Lytechinus pictus: one gene and its partner. The protein of the gene in region 2 purifies or fractionates together with the protein of the main gene of each other region. This does not show direct contact. Links are inferred from orthologs where the notes say so. Each region holds a gene or a part of one and is shown on either strand. Other genes may lie near its edges. The genes, in order: transducin beta-like protein 2 and eukaryotic translation initiation factor 2-alpha kinase 3-like.

The links.
Region 1: the proteins of eukaryotic translation initiation factor 2-alpha kinase 3-like (region 2) and transducin beta-like protein 2 purify together in Homo sapiens (affinity purification with western blotting; 3 studies listed by BioGRID). This does not show direct contact. The link is inferred for Lytechinus pictus from reciprocal best matches to the Homo sapiens genes EIF2AK3 and TBL2.

What each region holds. Positions count from the first base shown.
Region 1 is NC_087246.1:5,231,797-5,241,724, forward strand, and holds the start of transducin beta-like protein 2, read right to left. Parts: upstream 3,608-9,928; coding exon 3,505-3,607; intron 214-3,504; coding exon 10-213; intron 1-9.
Region 2 is NC_087256.1:21,451,016-21,459,955, forward strand, and holds the start of eukaryotic translation initiation factor 2-alpha kinase 3-like, read right to left. Parts: upstream 3,638-8,940; 5' UTR 3,477-3,637; coding exon 3,250-3,476; intron 1,590-3,249; coding exon 1,460-1,589; intron 843-1,459; coding exon 645-842; intron 99-644; coding exon 1-98. UniProt on the Homo sapiens protein: Metabolic-stress sensing protein kinase that phosphorylates the alpha subunit of eukaryotic translation initiation factor 2 (EIF2S1/eIF-2-alpha) in response to various stress, such as unfolded protein response (UPR).

The DNA of each region.
Region 1 (9,928 bases), on a different chromosome or scaffold from region 2:
CTACTTTACCTTCAGAACACGAAGCAACATATTTGCCATTGATACTGAAATCCAGATCGAGAACATTGTGACTGTGTTCCTTGAGTGAGGAAGCTAGGAGAGGATGAGTAAATGCCTTCTGTGAGGACTTCTTATTGCCATGGTTACCAGATTTTGTTTGCTTCTTGGTCACTTGGTTTGGTTTCTTCTCTTTATGTTTCTTCTCATTAGTCTCTGAAGAGAGAAAAAAAAGCAAGAATGATGATCCAATCGAAAATCAAAATTCGAACTTTCAGAATGTAAAAGTGCAAATCATAAGTTTCTTATCAAAACCTTACTTGTAACTCTTACACCACTATACAGCTGAAATCGGTCTGTTTGGAGGAGTTTTTACACATGAATTTTTAAAAAGAAGTTTTTTTACTTTCTCCTTCACAGATGGCTAGTCATCTTGCAAATTGTGTGAGGGACCTAATCCTGATAGCCTATATTCTTTGGGTCCCCCAACAGGTGGAAAGTAAAATTTCAATAAAATTGTAATTTTTTAAATCTCTTTTTCCAATTCAGAAACAAATAATAAACGAATTAAAAAAGAGTCAAGTCATGATGAATAGTTTATATTTCCCATTTTTAATGAAGTAAAAATACAATATTTTACAATATAATGATTACAAAGCTGATATTCAGTATTGATGCTACTGAAAGGAGACTCGTTTTCCATGGCAGTTTTTTTTTTTTTTTTTTTGGGGGGGGGAGGGGGCCATCCAGGGTTGGCACGTTTTAAACGGTGTGTTTTAAAACATGTTTTAAAACGCGTTTTAAAACACCACATAGGCTTGTGTGTTGTAAATTTGCATGGATGTGATTTTAGATAAATGTTTTTTTTTCATACTTTTATTTCTGAAGTGGTGTACTATTTTCTTCTAACTAATTAAAACTCTTTCTCAACACCACTCTTTTTCTCCTCTTTCTCTTTCCCTCCTTCTCCCCTTCTCCATTGCTTTGTCATGTTCCTTTCTTCCTTTCAATTGTGTACATCAATCTATACACAACAAAAAGTCCCCCCTTAAACAAACATCAATAATTTCCGAACCAATGCGAGTTTTTAATATATTTTTACATGAGCGTGTAGGTAATTTTATAAGCTACCTCTGAGTAAACGTTATGGACCTATTTCACTTCATGCTTCAGTAGGCACCGTCAGAAGGCAAAAATGTCCCTTTTCAAAAGTCACAAGCCAAATATCATGACTTTGATTCCATTTTATTGGAACCAATTCCACATTCTCATCATAAAAAATTGTCAGAAGGCTTGTAAAATGTACTCTCTAAAAGACGATACAACTTTTTTGGCTAAATTTCACGGTTGAATAAACACAAGTCCAAATTTGCTATAATTGGATTTTTTACACATTTATATCAATAAAAATGATAGAATATGATGACAGTTATTTTTGGAAGAGTTTCTTCAACAATATTCATCGTTTCACGGTTCAATGAACATTTATTGAAAACAAAAAATACGATTTTCAAATATCTTAGGCAAGTATTGGTTCATTTTGGGAACTGAAAATGATCTTTTCTCAACTTTTTCGTTATGTTCACGACCAATTAACATGCTTCAATGATTCAAAGGCGTTTAATTAAATATCCACGCTTGAATGAACATGTGGAATGCGATTAGCTCTTTTTTACGTTATTGGAAAAAATGCAATTTGCTACAATGGATATCTGTCACAAACCTCCTTGCATAGTTCATTTGATTTGATTTTTATGAAAATCCCGATGTTTAATGCATCAGTGAGCACACAATATTCGAAAATTATGCAAATGAGAAGAAAGTTCAAGGCCTTGGCCCCACTCTGTGTCGTATCGAATGGTTATTTTGGTGTGCGCGCCTTTTGGATAGTGTTACTCTGAAGCCATGTACGAAGTTTCATGAAATAACTATTGGCAGAAGTAACAAAAACCGTCCATGAAACAAATCCTCATTTCATATTTGTTAAAATTATGACTTCGTTTCTCATAGACCTGTGTACATTATGGGTGCACATGTTTAAGAATAAGTAACCCCTTATTCAATATGGTGGAACTTTTTTTCACGGCTGTCTTTAGCAATGTCATTTGGCAGTAATGTTTATCAACCTAAGGGCAGAATTCTGTGCAAAAATGAAATCGATTTGTCTATTTATGGATGAGTGAGCACGCATCAAAGTGGAAAATTTTGTATTTTCAATGTCACAGACTCATTTTAAAGGGTAATAAAGTGAATATTGGGGGCATATTCGGTTTCAAATAAGACTTTAATTCCTATTGTTTTTATCATCCATCATTTCTATCACCACACACTTTCCGAACTTTAAACATTTTCATGGTTGAGCGAGCACATTCGAAAACTTAGGAATAAATACTCTTTATACTGCATAAATGTATTCTTTTCCTAACAATTTCTCATGATCAGTTTAATTTATGGACAAATCAGTGATGGGTCCAGAATTTTAAAATGGGGGAGGGGCCTATAATCGGGGGAGCCACCAACATTTTCAAATTTTAACATGATCTAACAAGTTGCAGAAGATACAACCATAAACCCCTATGATGATACGTTACAATACAGGGGCCGGGGAAGGGTTTTCAAAGTGGGGGGGGGGGGGCTGACCATGCAAAAAATCACAATCGTATGGTCATTTTTACATTTTTGTACATGCAAGTACAAAAAAGTGGGGGGATGAAGCTCCCCGCCCAGCCCCCCCCCCCCCCGCTTCTGAGGCCCCTGCAATATATTGTGCTCACTCAACCATGAATATATGATATCAAAATTGTGTGTGGAGTGGCTAAATGATGGATAGTAAAACAGCATAACACCATAAAATTCACCTAAAGACAACATTTGCCCAATTTTGTATGTGCACAATCTGAAAAACGACTCTTGTGACTTTCAAAAATGGTCATTTTTAATTCAATCTTTAATTACTCATGCATGACTCAACCGATCAATCTTATTTTTCTCCGGGAGTTGCTTAATGAGTGTAGAAAACCATCTACGGAATATCATATCTCAAAATAATTCCGTTCAAAAGTTACAGCAATTTGATTTAGGGGGGACTTACTTTTTTTGTTGTGTATATATTAAGAATATTTTCATTTCAACAAACATATCTAAGTGATGTGCTCACTTTTTGGACAGGGAAAGTAACACTATTTAAAATAAGCTCAAATACATAGTAGTACTTGAATGAAATGGAAGTGTTGCACAAGCATAATGATATCTCATAATGATATCGCGGACTACGCGTCGCCTTCTTGCACAAAGGCCGTTAACACGCACTGTTTACTGCGTGTTAATGGCCTTTCATGGCGCTTCAACAATCACTGTCAAGATTTAATCCAAGTCAGCTTGTTGTCATCGGGGGCGACTTTAACCTCCCAGGCTGGGACTGGACAAACCAGACAGTGAAGGCGTGCAGCCATCCTGCTCTTCACCATAAGTTTGGGGAAATGTTGGATGATCATGGCCTTACCCAACTTGTAGAAGAACCTACAAGACGGCTCACACTCTGGACTTGTTCCTCACCAACAATCCCACCCTTGCCTTCAATGTATGTGTCCTTCCTAGCATATCGGATCATGACTGTCACGACTCTGCTGACCTTTGACATGAAACCATCAAGAAGGCATCAAATGCCTAGAAAGGTTCCAGTCTACAGCAAAGCAGACTGGGAAGGGTTCAAGGACAGCATGTCAAAAGTAGCTGATGAAATATCATCCAAGCTCAAGGAAGCCTCCACGGCTCCACTAGTGAATTATGGGACATATTTCAAGCAGGAATCAAGAATGGTATCGAGGCACACATTCCTCATACAATGTTGAAGCCCAGAGCCAACCTACCTTGGGTGACTGCAAAAATTAGAAAGCTCATCAAGAAAAGGAGTAGGGTTGTCAAGAAATGTACAAACATCTTGAAATCCAGAGGACTTCTTCCATATAACCAGGGTGCTACATAACTTTTTAGAAGCACTTGCCCGGTCAGGCAAGTAAATTTTTAAATAGTTGGAATATACTTGCCCAAAAATCTACTTCACTTGCCCAAAAAAATCATTGAAAAAAAAAGTTACCTCTTCTAAAGAAAGTTTTGCAGCTTTATAAACCATTTCCTTTTTCCAAAGTGATTTTATCTTGCCTGCCACGACCAATATTAGGGTCAGTATATCATATCGACCCTGATTTTGGTCATTCTACTCTGAGAATTTTGCTTGCCCAATTCGGGCAAGTAGTTTTGTTCTTTACTTCAAAACACTTGCCCGACTGTAACTTTTACTTTCCCCGGGCAATCGGGCAAGTGCTTATGTAGCACCCTGCATATAACCTTGAAGAGTATAGCAACAGTCTTAAGAGGATCATCCAGTGAGAGATCAGGAAAGAATACTGGAAATATCTTGAGTCTATCTTCGATGGATCTGATGATGAAGACAATCAATTCATGGCCATGAAACGATTTTGGAGCTTCATTAAGTTCAACCGAAGTGACAGTTGAGGAATTTCCCAACTCAAGTCAGCCGGAAAGAAGCTTACCGACCCCACTGAAAAGGCCAATGCACTCAACCACCAATTCCAATGAGTATTCACTGAAGAGACTCCAGTACCTCCTGACTTGCTTCCCCCTTCTTCGCCTTATGAAACCATGCCAGATATCATCATCACAACAAAAGGCATCAAGAAACTGCTTGACAATCTGAAGCCAAAGAAAGCACCTGGTCCCGATGGCATCACTCCTCTAGTACTCAAGGAGCTATCAGGTATTATTGCTCCATCCCTGAGGGATATCTTCAGGAAGTCCTATATCACTAGGGAGATAGAGCGGAACCAAGCAACTACAGACCCATCTCACTAACTTGCATCGCATGTAAATTGATGGAGCATATCCTTGCAAGTAATATCATGAAGCATGGAAACCACCAGGATATTCTGTACCCTCTTCAGCATGGCTTTAGACAACACAGGTCATGTGAGCTACAATTGTTAGGACTGGTAGACCTGACCAACAACCTTCAAGATGGAAAGCAGACAGACATCTTAGTTCTGGACTTTAGCAAGGCATTTGACAAGGTGGGTCACCAGCGCCTTCTCCGGAAACTGGAGTTCTATGGAGTTAGAGGACATAATAACTGCTTGATTGCCAACTTTCTTCATATCAGGAAGCAGCAAGAGCTCCTGGATGGTCGTAGTTCATCTCAAATTGATGTAAATTCAGGCGTGCCACAGGGCTCTGTCCTCGGCCCCTGCCTCTTTCTCTACTTTATCAATGACCTGCCTGATCAACTCAAGTCAAGAGTCCGACTGTTTGCTGATGATGCTATCATCTTCTCACAGTTCAGTCAGATACTGATGATGACCAGCTGCAACAAGACCTCAACAAACTAAGTGAGTGGACCAGTAAGTGGATGATGGAATTGAACACCAATAAGTGTGAAGTCATCACAGTTACCAGGAAGCAAAACAGGATTGTACAACAGTACAAATTCAACGATGCTATCCTTACTCTTGTAGAAGCAACAAAATATCTTGACAGTGTCACTATCACTTCATACCTGAAGTGGAACAGTCACATCAGCAATGTTTGTCAAAAGGCTAACAACACCCTTGCCTTCCTACGAAGAAACCTGCGAGTAAACTCTCCCAAGTTGAAAGCTACAGCATACCGCTCACTTGTCAGACCTTTGGTAGAATATGCATCTACTGTCTGGAATCCATCTACCTCCAAGAACATCTACAAGCTTGAAATGATCCAACGCAGAGCAGCTAGATTCACACTGAATTGATATCACAATACATCAAGTGTGTCATCGATGCTGTAGGAGCTAGGATGGACATCCCTTCAACAACGACGAGAAATCTCTCGCCTTGTGATGTTCTACAAGATCCACAAAGAGCTTGTCCCATTCAACTCTGATGCATACATAACCAAATGTACTAGATCAACAAGAGCTGTTCACACTCAAGGATATCTCATGCCACAATCACGGACCCAACAACATCAATGCTCCTTCCCCAGAACCATCAAGATGTGGAACACTCTCCCAGTAAATATTGTGACAGCACCATTTGAAAATTATCCAACTCTGGGTAGTTTTTACCAATACTGTGTAGTTTTCACCCAAAGCACACATTATTGGTTTAAAACTGCCCAGAATTTGATAAAGTTTTAACCAATTGTTGTGTGGACAGTATGTTGCCGAACATTTTTAAGAAGGTAAGAAACACCCATACATTTCATTCGCTACACATTTCGAAATTCATGTGGTACCTCTGCCATTATTACCACTGCCATTTTTACCTCTGCCATTTTTTCCTCTGCCATTTTTTCCTCTGCCATTTTTACCCGGCACAGACAGTATGTAGGCCTACCGCGCGCTATAGCATACAGTAACTATTATCCAGCCGGCCGCGCCGGCCGTCTGGCATAAGCTTTGCATGTATGAAACCACTGCAGCTAGCTGTGCACTTGCAGACTATTCAGACTAAGGGAGCTGCGATACGAAATGTTGCTGCTAAGAGATCTTCCACAGAACTTTGAAAATCTACGTCAAAGTCACATTTTACACCAATGAAATGCCCTTCTACAGTCCATATTACTAAAATCTGGTGTAACCTGAATATTTGCAAGCATTAAAAAGAGGAATTATGACCTCTCTTTTGACTCAAAAAGACAGATTTCCAAATGCATTAATACACATAAAACACATAGGTGAGCGCATCACAGTCCCACGTGTGAATTTGTATGTATGTTGATACTTGGTTTCTTTCAAAGCGGTGTCTTTTCTAGCCAAAAATAAACAGACAGTTTCTTGCTTTCTTGTTTATAAATGACTTCTTAAATCACTCTTGAGGAAGTAAATACTTTGGGAATGCATTAATTGATATGAAATGTGAATTATTCCAGCATTTTGGCAAATATAGAGGACTTTTCTCACACTGTTTTTTTCCAGATATAACCTTTGTCGTTTTTTTTTTCTTTCATTTTTTTTTTAGTGGTTAAACCATTTATACCCCTTCCCATTGAATATGCCTGATTAAAGAATATGTTTCTACTGAAAAATAATAATAATAATTTTCCCAATTTTTTATTAATTTTGTTTTATTCATTTTTCTTTCATTTTCTTTTGTTTTTTTTCTCTAAACTTTTTCTTTTTTCTCTGTTCTTTGTTTTTTTCTTTCTTCATTTTCTTTCTTTTGTTTTATTTCACTTATTTATTTTATTATTATTTTTTTCTTTTTTTAATATACTATTCTAAAAATTATTTTTGTTTCCCCTTATTATGCATTGTTCTAACTTTGCAGCATATTTTTCTGTGATTTTCTCCTGCTATAATATGCTGGCAAAGAGAAAATAAACTGGATTTGGGGCCTGCATAATCTAGGTTTTAGGATTCAAAAAGGAAGAAAGGAAAAATAATTGTTTTGTACTTCTATCTGAGTTTGCAATGCACTATTTATTTACTTTACCATTATGAGTGTGTCTATACAGAGATTTAAAAAAAAGTCCACACAACCTGGGAACAATACAATTTTTTTAATCATTTCATATTTACAATGATAGAACAATTTATATATTAGGCCATGAGAAGTAAGGTATTAGATTTGCGTCCGAAAATTTTTCAAATGACATGAGGCTTTTTTTCATTATTCATTATTCATTATCTAGCGGGCGTGTACATTTTGCTTATTCATGACGTCATCCAGCCACTGCCGAGGGCCAATTTATAAATGAAAATATAGTAAGCATGCATACTGCAAGCCTTCCATAGCCCCACACAGTATTCCACCAAAACAAGTTTGCAATTCTCTATCACCTCGTACCAAAATCGACCTAGAATTTCACCTTCCTATATTTTATATGAATTATGAAAGGTATTCTCGGAGGATCTATTTTCTCACCGATACCGCACAGGTAAGTGAATTTCGATTACTTCTTGCTTTTCGGTCAAAATCTTACGAATTAGCGTCGATATGGCATCGTGTTTGTTGGAGTTTGTAGAGTCTATCGCAACGTATACAAAGTCAATTGATTTCCGGGTTTCGGAGCGTCGCGTGAATATATATATTTTTTTTAACAAACAAGTGCACACCTAGTTACCAATAATGCATATAGCATTTCCATTTATTTGAAAGCAGGATAAAAGAGCATTGTAGATTAAATGCCTTGCTCACGGCCATAGGTGCCGCGGCCGGGGATCGAACCCCGGACTTTCCATGTATAGCCAGGCGCCTTAGACCACTCAGCCACGGCACCTCCACTATATGCATGAAATTGCAGAGTCTCGATAATTTTCGATCGATACTAGAGCGATCCGATCACGAACCAAGACCATTTCCCGCGTAGACAATGTGACCGGATATCAAAGGTGCGCTGCAGTGGTATACTGTATGCACGAAGTAAGTGCATAAATATAACCTTTTACTGCCCAGCGATGATTTGGGACATTTGTAATTTCGTGATGGAGAGTAAGTAATGAATTTTTTTTTGAAATAATGAAATTTTCATGCGGGCGGTGGACGCAAATCTAAAACTTTCATTCTCTTGGCCTTACCACAAATCAATTAGCAAAGTAAAATAACAGCAAACAAGATTTACATACAAGACCATATGTACAAAGTGAAAGTAACAGTGGTAGTGGCTGCAGAATTAATATTTCAGAAGTTTGTTTTATTCATGTTTTTTAAAATATTTATCGGGCTACCAAACTTTAATATCGGGCCACCCAAAAAAATTATTTGAAGGTTTAGGTGGCCCAAACGGGCCAACACCAAAAAAAGTTAATGTGGAGCCTTGGCCTTGGTTTATTACTTTATAATATACAATATTTTTGTATTCAGTAGAGGCGCACGGCCAATATTGGAGACTGTCTCCAATGTGGGAGATTATCTCCAATATCAGAGACTTTTGTAAAGAATTTGGGTATCAAATTTCAGAGACAGTCTCCAGTTTTGGAGACCAATTTCCTTTATTTACATTTGCTGCAAAAGGATTACCTTGGCGGCAAATAAAAATGTGATAAGCAGATTCCTCATGAAAAATTACCCCTTCTCACCGTCTACTTTAAAATTTCACCGTCTACTTTTGTTTTGATAAGGATTTTTGTTGTCAATCACACACAAAACAAATGGGCTTCTGACCTGTGAGACAAAATTTTGAGTGGAAAAAAATTATGCTTTTGTTGGTGTTGTTTCTTTTGTCCTTTTGCAAAGCAAGTCTCCAATGTGGGAGATTGTCTCCCCTATTGGCCATGCGCCTAGTACTAGTAGGCACTTCAGGTGAAAATTAGGAAAGGCTGTTCCAGCATATTTGATAGGCTCACAATGAGGCTCAATATCTACGATAAACAAAACTGTTTGAATTTACAAAGTCCGATATCTAGAAGTCAAGTTATTGTCATCTTTGTGATGAAAAAACAGTGCTTTTTGTGGACAAAAGAAGATTACGAAATCTTATTATTCTCTTTGTTTTGGGCATGGCACATTTATAATACATAGCTTATGGGGAATTGTACAAGCTTTTTATTTAAATCTTAAAGTACTCATATTGATTTGACATATTGGCATATGATTTCTTTGGTTCAAGGGCAACTTCCCCTGGACGATAACCCCCCACCCCCACCCCCGGACAATTCCCCTCCCCCACCCCCCACCCTGGACAATTACCCCCCCCCCCGGACAACTACACTGTAGTCTGTACCCCTATCCAAAAATCTACACCTAACCTAACCTAACCCTGTTTCGGGGGTAATTGCCCTGTGGTAGGTTTGTGCACAGGGTAAACATATTGATTTTCTTTGCTTGAACATTAGAAATTATAAGTTTTCAATGAATATTATTTGTAATCAAAGAAAGAGAATCAAAATAATAATCTTAGGATTTCTATCAAAAAATAAAAACAGATTGATTTCAATTGT
Region 2 (8,940 bases):
ACTGTTTGCCTGGTCTGCTGAATGACAATGATGTCTTGGTCATCAGCAGCTTCGTCTCCATACAGTTGACATCCACCAGTACCACAAATATAGTGCACCTGTGAGGTAAAGGATAGAGAAAAGTTTAAATTCAATGAAATTTTAATCATAATGGACTAGCATTTCTCTTTTGTCTTTATTACCTTCTAAATAAACTTTTCAAAAAATGTATCATCTAAACAAAATTAACAAATATCATATGATTAAAAAAATTAATGAAAAATTTCATATTTTGAGCTATATTCTATAATAATCCCCCAAAATACTGCAGATACTTCCAATAATAATTCACTTTTTAAACATATTCAAATATGATGATGTAATGCCAGGTACCATCCTTGATTTGATCTTTGAAGTTATGTGTTCTATTGCAAAGTTGATCTTTTGATAATATTTACTTTTATTTTCAAAATCCAACTTGATTACTTGTAATTGTTTCTGATCTAATTTCATGAAAAACATAAATTATGTAAAAAAAAGAGGAAAGATTTAATGGCCCTTACTTAATAAAAAAAAGATGAACAAGAGAAATATTTAAAAAATAATAAAATCTTGTATCACCACAAAGAAGATTTGAAAAGTTTTTTTTTATCAACCCAACATACCTCTCCAGTTCTAGCATTGATGCCAAACGTATGGATCTCCTTGCCACCGACCATCATCGTCTCTTCGTTGAGCCTGAATGAGGTACTGAGAAGGGATTCTGCTGTGAACGGAACTGCTTCAAGAGTCTCCCCATCCCATTTGAACAGACCCCCGTTCAACGATGGTATCACCTTGTATACTCCTTCAGGGCCCATGATCTGAAAGAATATCAGGGAGCATAATTATAAAGCTCTTATGCTTTTCTTGCGATCTCCTCTATCTTTCAATCATAATTTTACTGTTTTATACAGTATATTTGTTACTGACAGTTGATGGGAATTAATCATTCAAATGGAAATAAAATGAAGAGATTGGTGGTGTTCTATTTCTAATTCAATCATCCCCTTCAGTCTTCACCAGAATTTCTTCAACAATGCTGCAACTCTTTCTCTGCAGCCTTAATGACTGATTTTTTTTTTGGAAATCATACCTATCAAAAGAGGTTTTCAACTTGTCAATTTCACACACGTTTTACAAGGTACTTTATCACTGTAAGTTTCATTACCCTACTCAAATCAAGTATTATACTTCAGGTTATGTGTACTGCAAAAATAATGTAAAGCTCCTTTTTATTGTATCAAAACACTGATATTCTTTCATCGACCAAAAAAACTTTTTAAAAATGTAATGCTGAAATAAATGTACGCAGCTAACCCCTCTCAAAGCAACACTTTCACACTGAAAAACCACCTTATTGATTGCAAGAGTACAATTAATTCATTTTCGGTTAGAAAAATGTTTTCATTGGTAAAAAAAAAGGGATAATTTTCTTTACCTCAAATTGACTGATGGATGATGAGAGTAGAGGTCCAATGCCAGCATCCATACTCCACTGCTGTTGGCCAGCATTCTGGATGTCCAAGGCAAGTACCTTCCCATCCACCGTGCTCAGGATCATCAGAGGCCTGGCACAGAAAGCAAAGTTATGATCAAATTTGATTTGAATGACGATGTCATTTTGAAGGGCAGGTTATGGTCGCAAATGATAGAGCAACTCTTTACCTATCTATAGCAATTTGTTAGAAGTCTGTAGCATGCAGGATAACGGAGATATGAAAGAATGAAGAATGGTAGGCAAATGGACTTGAAATTGACAAAATGGCGCCTGCACGGTCATGCATGAGTGATTTGGGAAAATGAAATACGAGGTGCACAACAATGGGTCATGGACAACATGTGTACCAAATTTGGGAGAATTAAGATAAGGGATGGAGCCTAGGCAGGGCTCACAAGAACCACATGTTAAACGAATGGGATTTTGTGGAAAAAGAAGCAGACAGTAGAAGAAGAAGAAGGAATAGGAATACCGAACAAGGCATTGTAGCCATTGATAGTGTCAATGCATATAGTCATCATTTTCATATGACAAAATATCCTTAGAATATCCAGGTCCTAGGTCAAAATAATAAAAAATATCAGCTTGCGCTTCTCGCTCGCATCATTTATTAAGTGCGTTCACATCCACTTTGCAATTTTCCTACACAGTGCTTGAAATAGTGCTTACATGTAAATTGACCCTTTGATCAGAATATAATATTTTCAGCTCGGGCTTCGCGCTCGCATTATTGATTTTCATAACAAAAAAAAAGTATTCAGAATGCCAAGATTCTGTCTAACTCTAAAACATGTGCATGCATGTTTATTGAGATATACTCATATGCAGCTTGTTCTTTAATAAAAAATGCCTAAATTATCCAGTTTCAGATGAGAATATCAAAAAATTTCTGCTCGCGCTTCGCGCTCGCATTATTAGTGTAAGAAGATAACAAATAACCCATCTTTTTCCATAATTTACAAAAACATGAATAGTGTCCAGATTTTAGGTCTGAAATCTCAATTTTTTTTCCGCTCGCACTTCATTGTTTAGTTCTACTTATTATATACCATAGATCCTGTTCATGATTACAAAAAGTGCTTAGAGTTAGAATGTCAATTTTTTCGGCCGGAATATCAAAAATTTTCAGCTCGCGCTTGCATTATTTAATTGATGAAAAGTGTATCGTCTTAATGGCTAACTGCAAAAAGTCTTCAACAGGTCCCTTTTCGATCAGGCCTGGGGCCCGTTGCAGAAAGAGTTGCAATCAATTGCAACTCTAAAAATCATGCGCAACTTGATTTTCAACCAATCAACAGCGCGCATTTGTTACATGCGATTGATTTTTTGGCTTGCGTTTAAACGCAACTCTTTCTGCAACGGGCTCCAGAACAGCTACAGTACACATATTATTAAAAATTTTATAAAAATTTCTTTCCATATTTTTCAGAAATAAAAGTGGCCATATTCAGAAACAATATTCTTGTTCACTTCTTTTGCCAATGGCTTGCCCGTCTTGGAAATGAGACAATGAATGAAAACGAGAGTCCAGACAATTTCAACTTCCAACACTGGAATCTGGATTGAAAATTTTGAAATTGTCACTGTTTTTTGTTTTTGGAATATTGCCTAACTACGTAAGTTTGGTCAGTGAGTTAAATTCTCTAGTCTACTTAAAACTCTTTTTCATTCAAAGTCAAACCAACTACTTTTCATTCAAATTGAGTACCCATTTAAAGTTCAGTAATCACCTATTAACACCCTGTGAGTGTGAGGCTGAACAACTCTCTGGTGACGGACGATGAACAGCATTCTGAAGCCTGGAACTGCCGCTCAAACGCTCACTGTTATTATTCTCGCCTGAAGTCCCGGGGTTCCCCTCGGCCGATTCGGCTTGCGAAATGTTCGTGAAGATAATGATGCAAGCCAAAAGTGAGCAAATCCTCGTTAGATTTGCTCTATTGTTAGCTGCATCCATCAAACATTTGCTGCTTCAATCGGGAATGGTCAAAATGAGAGTCGAGAACAATGAATCACCACTCCTACAATACCTATCAATCTGAAAAGTTGAATGATGTGGAACTTTCCGCGTTGATTAGCCTGACGTGTATTTACGTTTTTGTTGATCACGTGACTATTGATCCGTGACCGGTCAAATACTGCGATCACATCGCACCATCGATCCGATCCGATATCCGAACATGCATAAACCTTCAAGCGCGGCTGATCGAGAGGAAGAGAGAGGGTGTGGGAGTGGGGGGGGGGGGGGGGGGGGGGTGTGAACAAAATACGTACTTGCCCTCTGCGTCCAAGGGGGGTGTTATTGGAGTGATAACTATTATGGCTGCTGGGTACATTATATCTTACTTGCCAATACCATATGGGATAAAATTAAGTTGAAGTGAGGTTCGTGGCGGGTGGATGAGAGAAAATAAGGAGAGGGTATTAAACATGTGTGTAGTGTATAGGCCCCCGCCCCCCCCCCTTTGTTTTGATTTTTTTATTGTACTGACCCCCTTTCTTAAATTGTTGATCTGCACCCATCTGCATGGGGCGAATTAAAATGCAATATTTCCCCGTGCATGCATCGGGGGCGCGGGGGGGGGGGGGCACTACTTCCGCGAAATTGTCCATATTCCACAATACTTGTTATTTCGGATGAATGTTTAGTCTTATGTTTTTTCCTTTTCTTACATGATGACATGAAATGATACAAATAATAAGACAGGGAAAGAGTTCTGTAGCGTCGATCATTTTGTATTTTCACTTGAAGTATTTCACTAGTTCAGTCTTGTAAATTGCAATTCACGAATTGCCACTAGTACTATATTATATAGCTATCGGGGCTGGAACTCAAGGGCATGGGCGGAAATCGCTCCTCAAAGGTGGGGGAGCTAGGGGAAACAATTGAATTTCCATTGTTATACTATACATTTTACTGACGTAAATCTGGTCCAAGCAGTGAGGGGGGAGGTGATAGCAACATATTGACCTGAAAATTCAAAATGTTGGGGACACCCCCATGCATAAGCACACCGAGGGCTGTACGGGGGTATATGACCGTGTACACAGTACTACCATCTTTCAGTTAAATGCCTATTACCATTTCAATGGCTCTATTGTAATGGATTTGTTGTGATTAAAGTAATGAATTACAGTCAATATCAATATGCTAGCGAGCAAAGCGAGCGAGAAAATTTTCAGTTGTTAAAACTTTAAAGACAGAATGGTGTCCTAAAACCTCTTTCAAGTTCATTAATTAATTAATTCTGTAATTGTTCGCCATTGTATTATGATTGTTATTTGTATTTTTATATGTACATGGCTCTCTCGAAAAGCAGTTTTTATGTACTGAAGAGACTGTCTAAAGAAAACAAAAATAAATAAATAAATAAGTGGTATGAGTGCATCACGGGCAATGTACGTACTAAGTATATACTGTAAATGTGGACATAATACTACCATCTTTCCTTTTGCGATTTTTTTCGATGGCTATATATTGTAATGTATATTCATGACCAGTGGCGTACCTAGGATTTTCCACAGGGGGGGGGGGGGCAAATTCGTCCGCCAAAAAATTTGACAAGCAAAAAAAAAAAGGTTTTCAACCACAAATAAAGGATTTCGTATCAGAAAAAAATTTGACAAGCAAAAAAAAAATAAAAAAAATTGACTCTTCAGGACTCGTCAGGGGGGCAGGGATATGTCCCTTGCATGGGTTGTGACTCGTCAGGGGGCAGTCTGCCCCCCCCCCGTAGGTACACTAGTGTTCATGACTTAGAGTAAACATCACTGTGCGAGCGAGCAAGCAAAAATTTTAATAGTTGGAAGACAGAATGATGACCAAAATTGTCTTTTAATTGCGTGTAATTATTAAGAAATGCTGCGAGTGATCGTAGTGAGCGAGCCTTGAAACAGTTTCAGTCGTTTGAAATTCTTCATTCGTTTAAAATGATATGCAGAAATTATATTACAGGGGATGATAGCGCTATATTATCAATAACGTAAACTTTCGAGGAGAAAAAAAGAATATAAGAACAGAAGAAATATAAAGAGCAAATGAGGGCTAAACTGTCCAGATATTGTTAAATGAAAACTCGTTTGCTCATTGGTTAAAGGTGAGATGAGAATGATTTAAAAATGGGGTCATGATTACCGAGATTAAGGCCTGGGAATTAGAAATGCTTTGTGATATGATTATAGGCCATCACAGGCTACAACACAAACCCCGTGGAAATGGTACGGTGATGCTAATTGAAATAAAGATATTGCAGAAAGGAAAGATTTAAAATAATCTTCAATATTGGGAGATGAAGTAACATTCAAAATTCAAGACAAATTCATATGACATATTTATTAGACTGTTATGGAATAAATGTGATTTAAAGTTTCCTACAGGCATAATAAACGGATGAAATTGTAAAGTGTGTTGGAAATATTGCTGCTCTTATATACACTGTTAAAAATAAAAGTATTAACAAAAAACAGTAATTATTACTGGCAGCTGCATGGGACTCACAAACAGTATGAACTGTTAAATTACGATGGGCTGTAAAAATGCAAAAAGCTGGATTACTGTAAAAAATAAAATAAATAAATAAAAACACCATTTTAATATTCATTTAACATGAAAATCCCCGTTATTTACAAATACGAACACTATTTATACGATGGACTGCATGCAATCAACGTAAAAACACGATAGTTCGTTGGTATTTTTACAAAAAATTACTATATTTCACTTTGTTTTACATTTAACTTGAAATTCTACGTTACAGATCACTGCATAAATACATTTGGTTTGTTAAATCATTGTGTCGTCTGTTTTTAAAAGGTAAGCATCCTGTAAATTTACGATTTTTCTTTGTAAAATTACTAATATTTTAACAGTGTATAATTGCCTCTGTGTTTCATTAACGCCATTGATTTAGTCAATGCCATCAGTAACTCATCGTACACTACTAGGGTATGGCTATATTTTTTGTACAAAATTTATTATCCCCCACTTCCACAAAGATTGTAAATGAGCCCCCACACAATCACGCCAGTTTATTCGATGATTGTTTTATTGGTTTATGATTAAATTTATAACCACATTTAAAATTAATTGGTAACTAATATAAGTATTATAACCATGCTGCCATGCTCTTATGATGCAGGCGATATATAATCTTTGGAATACGTACGCTAATCGTAGGGAATTGTCATGGCCAAACTCTTTTAAGATTAAAAGGAGCGTGGGAGCGGAGCGACCGCGCGAGAAACTTGGGATTTTAGAATGCAAATTTGGGAAAATTTAAGCACTTTGACTTCGTTATTTTGATTTTTTTTAATGATGTATTTTTTCCATTAAAAAATACCACAAATATAGTGTGGGGGGGGGGCATTTGATATTGCGTTACCCCCTTTCCAAAAATGGGGGAGGAGGACGCGTCCCCCTGTCCCCCCTGCATTGGATTTCCGCCCATGCTCAGGGGACATTTGAATTGAAAGTGGAGACAATGGCAGAGTGGGGATTCGAACTCACAACCTTGCGATTAAGAGTCCAATGCTCTAACCACACGATCCGTGCCGTCTCAGTATATGCTCTCTGTTTTTTTTTTTTTTTTTTTTTTTTTTTTGGGGGGGGGTTCAGCCTCTGCATGCTAATTTGTCAATACTCCACACCAATAAGTTAAGCTAATATAACTGCAACTAAAAGTATCTAAATCTAATCTTTTACTATCAATAAATTTGTCTAATTATATATATATTCTAAATAATGTCACGACAGTGCCTTATGACCTGTGTACCTGCCATTTCCTCTTTTCATTTTCAGTTTTAATTGCACCACTTTTTCTCCCTCTCTCTCTCTTTCATTTGCCTCCCTTTTTCCACTTTTATGATTTCCGTCTACTTAAAATTCTATCGTTATTATCGTTATCATTACAATTATTATCTTAATTACTTTCCATTTTTGTTGTCGCTTATTCGCTCTATTTTGGTATTTTGTAGATTACGTATTTTAAGTTCGTTTTCCGTCCGTCTCATGTATATAGGTTATGTTAATTAGTATTGGAACTAAGTTTAGGGACTTGCCTTTTTTTACAAGCTCTGCTTTTCTTAGCAGGTCAGTTCAGTTAATTTATCTTCAATATTAAATATTGAAGATAAATTAACTGACTTGCCAAGAAAAACAGAGCTTGTAAAAAAAGCTTGTGAAAATTTTGTTATGAAATGTCATTGAACTGTATGTATTATTTTGAGTATGTGTTAATTTGAACATGTATTTACACTGTTGCTTCGATTATATCATTTTTGAACGGAAATAAATAAATCTAAATCTAAAAATTCATTTAAAAAATCTGCATGCCGCCACCACTTTCAGTTGCCCTCCACTTTCCCCTTACATTAAAATCATTGGATATTCTCGGGAACCAGAGAAAATGGGACATCATTTCAAGCACCGTTTGAATCCATGAAGATGATCACTAAACAAATAATGTGAGCACGAAGAGCATTCTAAATTTTGTTGATATACCGACCTGAAAACAGAACATTCCAAGCACCATGGAAAGGATAAGTATATTACTAAAATTAAAATACGTGCGCAAAACGCGAAATGAGTTTTGTTTATTATATAGGCAAACTGACCTGCATGAAACTGGACAATTTAAGCACCTTTATTTATTTATTTATTTATTCACTCATTCATTCATCCATTTATTTATTTATTTATTTATTCATTTATTACATTTTATAATCGTCAACAGGAAACATGCCTATATAAACAAACAATCTATACTTGCGCAGAGTAGGAGCTGAAACCTTTTGGGATATTGACATAGAAGGGAACATTTTAATCACTTTGATCTTAAGTATGAATACTATATTGTCCAATTATGTAAGCGCGAAGCGCGAGCTGACATTTAAGTTGATGTGGGCATAATGACCTGAATAAGTAATCATGAATGCGATAAGCATACTAAAGAAATTCGCAGTCCTAGAAAAGAGATTTTAGGACTATTTTACAAATTCATGAAAACATATTTTAGTAAGTTTTAAAAAAATGCAAGCAAGAAACGCGAATTACAGATATAGGCCTGAAAAGGGAACATTTTAATACCTTTTTGTAATCAGGATCAGGGACATGATGTGTTTCCTACAAAACAAAGTAATGAAAACGCGAAGCCCTAACTGAATGATTATTTTCTTCATTAACTTGAAAACGAGACAATCTATATAGCTATTTGAATAGTATTATATGTGTTTAATAAACGGGCAATGCAAGGACGAAGCGTGAACAAAATTTTTGTGTTGATATATACTGACCTGAATTGATTTGTGAACTCCCCCATTCTCCCCCTCCTATGTCTTTTTTTTTCACTTTTCTTCCTCTCATTTTCTGTATCCCTTTGTTCTTTTCTTCTCCCCTTTCTCCTTTCTTTTGCCCCCCCCCCCTT